Linked DNA regions of Tribolium castaneum. The protein of the gene in region 1 interacts with the protein of each later gene in a pairwise test. Links are inferred from orthologs where the notes say so. Each region holds a gene or a part of one and is shown on either strand. Other genes may lie near its edges.

Evidence for each region. The genes of interacting proteins can lie anywhere in the genome.
Region 2: the proteins of fand (region 1) and cyp33 interact in a two-hybrid assay, tested with the Caenorhabditis elegans proteins (2 studies listed by BioGRID). The link is inferred for Tribolium castaneum from reciprocal best matches to the Caenorhabditis elegans genes syf-1 and cyn-13.

The regions. Positions count from the first base shown.
Region 1 is NC_087398.1:14,018,553-14,021,073, forward strand, and holds the end of fand (pre-mRNA-splicing factor syf1 homolog), read right to left. Parts: intron 2,118-2,521; coding exon 655-2,117; 3' UTR 596-654; downstream 1-595.
Region 2 is NC_087394.1:24,073,884-24,077,952, reverse strand, and holds cyp33 (peptidyl-prolyl cis-trans isomerase E), read left to right. Parts: upstream 1-1,233; coding exon 1,234-1,437; intron 1,438-1,484; coding exon 1,485-1,664; intron 1,665-1,713; coding exon 1,714-1,920; intron 1,921-3,263; coding exon 3,264-3,581; 3' UTR 3,582-3,643; downstream 3,644-4,069. Other genes in the region: palmitoyltransferase ZDHHC8, read right to left, coding at 1-117, 186-358, 410-567, 612-730, 790-881.

The DNA of each region.
Region 1 (2,521 bases):
TCTCTATCAGGATGGTGGTTTTCAAAAATTTATTGCATTTGTCGTAAAATTTGCACGCGATCATTGTTGGGTCTGAAGGTTGAGGCAGCCAGTAAGAATTTTTCAGGCCCGGATTCCCATTTATTTGATCTGTTTATTGCAAATGGAATGTTAATCTTTAAATCTTGCGGCAAGGGTTCATGCGAATTGTAAACGAAGAATTCGTTTGTGCTTAGACCAAAATAGTCATCAATTTAATTTTTAATACGTTAGTGTGCTTATTCCGGTCCTGGCTTTAAAACTGCCCGATAGGACCGTGCCGCTAGTTGTAAAATTCCTGCAGTCATCATTACTGTTATTGGGGTAGGTAGTGGGTCCTTTTGTAGCGGAGATTTATTACTACTCAATCTTGTCCCTCATAAATTAGACTGAAATTCCCTATGAATAATGTCAAAATGGCTTTTAATCAAATTCTAACTATTTTTTTCAAGTTAAATTTTTCCAGAATAATTTTATTTCGCATTTCCGATCCATTGATGTAAAAAACAGCCAATGTGATTTTTTGGTCAAATGGTTTTTTTCTTTTTTATTGAACAAATAAGTAAAACAGTAGTAGTAAAAGTAAAACACTTTATTTATCCTTAAATACACATCAGTAATAATAGATTAACCCATTCATCCCTCATCCTGTTCCCCCTGATCATCCTTCTTCTTCAACCCACCAAACACTTCCGACGGAATACTCTGCTTCTCAACCGGCACATCCTCCCCTTCGTCCTCATTCTCCTCCTCGTCGTCATCATCCCCAATATCAATCTCATCCGGATTAACAACCTTATCCTTATTATCCCCTTGCGTCTCTCCCCTCACAAACATAATATTCCCAGGCCGGACCCCACTCGACGTCCCTGCCATTTCCGCCGCCTTCGCCTCAAGCAACCGCATCCCATCCTTAACCCCCGGCGCCAGATCAGCAACAGTCCCCGCCACGGAACTCGCCGAACTCAGCATCTGAGCCGACATCATATTAATCTGAGTGTTGTACATCGCTTGGATACTCCTCTTGATCCTCAACATCTCTCTCATCGTGTCCTCATTCCCGTGCCTCACCTCAAACTCCTTCCAGATCTGCCAGAACTCAGTCGTGACCCTCGGGTCGCAAATCTGGCTACAGTGCGAGTAGATGGCGCGAGCTCGGTCGATCTCGCCCAACTTCGTCTCCATATCGGCGAAACGGACGCACATCTCCCGAGTTTTGTCCTCCGGAAGGACCTCAATCGCTTTCTCGTAAATCTGGCGCGTTTTGGGAATCCCGTAAATTTCGGCCGCCCTTTTGATGTAAATGTTGAATATTTCGAACATTTCCTCCTGAGGGACAGCGTTTGTGGCCCTTTCGTACACAGCCATGGCGTGTCGGGCCATTCCGTGCTCCTCCTCCAACTTCGCGTAAAGGAGGTAGAGGGGTTTGGCGAATTGTGGAGGACAGTTCTCCAAACACTGCTCGAACAAATCGCGCGCCCTCTCCAACTTGCTCCCCCCATAACGCTTCAAGAACTTGCTCAAGTACGTGTTCCAAATGTCGTAAACGTTCGGCCACTTGAACAGCGAAATCCCCTTCTCATAGGCCCGGAACGCCTCCTCAAAATAATTATTCTCCTCTAGGAACAACCCGTAATTGATAATAATCTGCGGGGTTGCAATTTTCAAGTCAATAATCCTGTCGTAGACCGCTTTGCATGACTTAAACGTCCCGAAACTCTCCTCCAAGTCGGCCAACATCGACCAGACTTTCAGCGACTTGTACAGTCTGGCTTGCACGGTCTCGGTGTCGTCATGATAGGCCACTTTGCGTGATGGCATGGTGCTAGCTCTGTGCATGAGTTTGAGGGCTTGCTCGTAGTTTTCGTTTCGTATCTCCATTTCGGCCCATTCGCACCAAACCGTCGCCAAATCGTCCACTTTCACGTACGCCACTTGAGTGGCTTTCTCGAAAATGAGACGAGCGTCCTCGATTTGTTTGTTGGTTTCGTAGAATTTGGCGAATTCGACCCAGAGGGTGTGCAGTTTGCCTACGGCGAGTTTGGGGTCGACGGTTTGCACCGCCTCGGTGTAGGTGTTGATGATTTCGTGTGGTTTTCCTGAACACAAAACAAAGAAAATGTTTTGTAACTCCTGACTTTAGGTTTGATGATTTAAAAAGAACAATTTTTATGAGAAAACAAAAAATAACAGTCCAATAAATTTTGCTATTACTTGACGTTCTTTTGTGTTAAAAAATTATTTTTACAAGGAGACCGATGTTATCTATAGGGTCTATTAAGAGTAATTTTTTACTAAATACAGTGTGACCCAGGGGTGCGTAATCATAATCAATCCATAACTTTTTTGTTATTTGAAATATTGCCATGCCATTTTAATCATCCGATAGATAGTCCGACAGATCGATAGATGGTCCACAAACTAAAAATATTTTTATTGTACACAGAGTGGTGAAGTTATTTTTTTTATGAAACACCCTATATAGTTTTACATAATATGATTC
Region 2 (4,069 bases), on another chromosome or scaffold:
AATTTCCCCGTGACTTGTTCATTGGTGGTCCTTCCTCTCGAGACCAAAACCATATGAAACCCTGTTAAGCCAAAAATTGGTATAGCTAACAAAGCCACCAAACCCATTAAGACAAAACTGGGAAAAATTAAGGTAAAATTAGCTAGAATGTTGAAAATTCGTAACAAAAAAATCGAAAAGGATACGCAATAATTGGTTCAGCGTTGGAGAAAGTATCACCATATTTGAGGATGTAAATTAGGCTTAAAGTAAATATACTGATCATGTGTAAGCTAAGTGAGATGAGAAAGAAAAAGAAAAATCGGTAATTTCTTCTCCCAATGCAATTATTGACCCATGGACAGTGGTGGTCAAAAGTCTGTAAAAAATCGGGGATTTACCAATTTTTTCAACCAATTCCACAACTCACTTCTATACAGTGGTTACAAACACTACAATGTGAACATCTCGGTGGTCTGTAGAACTTGCACGTGACGCACCATTTCATCCGCACCGTAATCCCGTTGATCTCCACGTTCTTGTACAAGGGGGCCCTGAAATCGTCCTCGCGGTCTTCATCAGGAGGGGCTAAAAACCAGCTCAATTAGCGCTACAAGGGGGTTGTTACGCACCTTTTGGTATGACCCCCGGGTCCATGAACGTAGCGAGGGTGAAATTGGCGAGGACGAAGAACGTGATCACTCCTTGGTACGCGGGCACCCATGGATAATCCTCTAAGTAGTATCGGGCTCTAACAAGCGTAACGTTTGCCTAAATTTGGTAACATAAACACTGACAGGAATAACTCACGGGTAGTAGAAGAACAACGTTGTGGCTACCAACAGTAAAGTCCAAGCAAAAGTCGCTGGTATGTATCTAGTTTTAACATCGCACTTGGGCATAATGTTTTTTTACTCAAGATCTCGCGCAAAACTCGAATTTTCGCCTCAGACAGGCCAACATGGCTGAGACAAACGGGAGAAGTTATCGTTCGTTGCCCCTGTCAAACTCATCTGACACTTGACAAAATCGGGGGAAAAGAAATTCCCCAAGTCGCACACTTTTATATCGATTTTTCACATTAATTACTTGAATTGAAACGGACGGCAGTGCTCAAGTAGTAATTAAAATGCCATTAATTTACGTTTTTACGTAAAAATCCAATGATGGTTAAACACTTGATAGTTGCGCAGGCGCGTTAAGGGTGTCAAAGGTTTCGCACAAAAGTGAGGTTGTGTCAATGTTTTTTGAAAAATGAGCACCGGTTCCAAACGCACTATTTACGTCGGGGGGCTCGCCGAAGAAGTCGACGATAAAGTCCTGAACGCGGCTTTTATCCCCTTTGGTGACATTGTCGACATTCAGATCCCTCTGGACTATGAGACGGAAAAGCACAGGGGGTTCGCTTTCATCGAGTTTGAGAGTGCGGAAGACGCGGCTGCAGCAATCGACAATATGGTAACACCAAAGTTAAATAATGGACAATTTTTAAATATCAGTTTTAGAATGATTCTGAGCTTTTTGGTAGAACCATCAGAGTCAATTTAGCCAAACCACAGCGAATTAAAGAGGGTTCGACACGGCCTGTTTGGTCTGAAGACACCTGGCTTCAGCAGCACGCAGGCGAGACAATCGGCAAGACTATTAATGATCCTGATGATGGAACTAAAGAGGCAACAGATAACGTAAAAATTTCTCTTGATTTTTTGATTTTTTTGAGCAATTTTTTCCCAGGATGCTGACAAAAGTGACAGCAAAAAAGTCAAAAACCCTCAAGTTTACTTCGACATTAAGATTGGCAAGACTGAAGTCGGTAGAATAACAATGCTGTTGAGGGCTGATGTGGTCCCCAGAACTGCAGAAAATTTTAGGTGTTTATGCACCCATGAAAAGGGTTACGGTTTTCAGGGCTCCACTTTCCATAGAATAATTCCAGACTTTGTATCCTTTTTACCCAAAGAAAAATTATATTGTCAACAAGCCCCATAACTTGTTTATCATAAGAAATATTCACTTTTTCTTTTTTTTCTGGATTATAACTGTGTTTCTGCTACAGATGTTAAAAATATTGCGGTATATTTTAAGATTTCCCAATATTAAAAAAAAAAACTAGTTATGTTTTTTTCAAATAGAACACTTTAAATTTTATTACAGTTTTGGACGTAATCGATTCTGTTTAGTTTTTGAAATAATTTGTTTTTTTCAGTTTTTCAAACTTAAATCTGTATCAACTGTTTAACGCATTGCAATTAGGAACGTAGAAAAATTAAGAAGTTTGTTAAAAGTTGGATAACCTGGAAAAGTTAAATAGAACACCCTATTTTTTGTTTTTGCTTCTTAAAGGTCATTAAATTGTCTAAAAACATAAAGTTTCAAATGCCTAAAGTTAATAACTAAAAATCTATTTTACTTTAAAAATTAATTTCAGCAGCAGTACACATTATTTATGAGCATTGTCGTTACCAGGACTAGGGGTGGGCGATATTAAGATTTAAATATCAATAATCGATACATACCGATATATCGATACACCGATACATATCGAAGATTGGCGAAATATCGATATATTATATTGAAGTATCGATATTTACGATAGAGCGATAAAAACATGGGTATTTATAGATAAATGATAGTACCTAATAAATGTTACTGTTAAATTTAAAAAAGTTGAAATGGTGAAATACTTGTTTTTTTTGTTAAATTTATGTTTAAATTATACAGAAATCATAAAGTTTTGTACTAATGCTAATATTTTTGCAAAAAATGTTCTAACCCGTCGATTTTAAATCGCCGTCTTTTTTGGGTAGGCAATCCTCAACTGTTTTTGGTTTTGATTACATTTTTCAGTTCTCTATTTAACAATTGTACAAAAAATTAAATCTTGTACGATAATTTTTTTTGAGAAGATCTAATTTTTTACGTTTAACTAAAGTTAAACGATAATAACGAAATTTGTCGGAATATTGATAATAAATTATCGATAGTTATCGGCATGTGGTGTATCGACAGTTTTAGATAATTATCGATATGTCTATATATATTGATATATCGATCTTTTTATCGATATATCGGTAAAAATTCCTAGCCCTAACCCTGACTACCTCAATATTTTCAAAATATGCAGCAGAAACGCAGCTGTAAGCTAAAAAAGGAAAAATCAATATGTCTAATAATAAAAAAATTTTGGAGCCTTTTCGGCTCGCTGGGACCTGTTTATTAAAGAGGGCTACGGCTGTGAAATTAAGTTGCCAACATTACTTGCTAAATTCCTTAATGACGGTTAGATGTGTCAAGGTGGCGATTTTACCAACCACAATGGTACAGGAGGAAAATCAATTTATGGTCGGAAATTTGTTGATGAAAATTTTGAATTGAAACACGTGGGTCCAGGGACTTTATCAATGGCCAATTCGGGACCAAATACCAATGGGTCGCAATTTTTTATTTGCACGGCAAAAACGGATTGGTTGGATGGAAAACACGTGGTTTTTGGGCATGTTATAAGTGGGATGGACGTTGTGAGAAGGATGGAAAGGTGTGGGACCAAGAGTGGGACGCCCACGGAGAAAGTAGTAATAGCAGCGTGTGGAGAAATACAATAAAAAATATTTAAGAATTTTTGATTTTATGTAATGAAAATAATAAAGAACTTACTAAACGTAAATTGTATTTTTATTTACCCAGGAATGTTTTAGGCACTAGTTTTTCGTATTTTAAAAGAGCACAAAAAAAGATTTAAATACTTTAAATAAAATAACAAGAAAATATTTAAATTACCTTTTTAATGTTTGCTACATTACCGACAGCCATATTGCCAAATTAAACTTGTGCAAAAGAATTTGTCTTTATTTATTTACTTTGCCACAAAGATTACATGAAAAGAATAAATGAAACACCTCGCTTTATTCACAAAATAGGTTACAAAAATTGGTATTATTGTGCAAGTTATAAACCTGACGATAAATTATTGAGTTGGCAACTTTGGGTTCTTCAAGTTTGAGGATTGAGGTTACGTTTATCATTGATAGGTTATGTTTGACCGCAGCATGTTTTTATTTTGTTGAATATCAAGACTAGTTTAATTTAATCC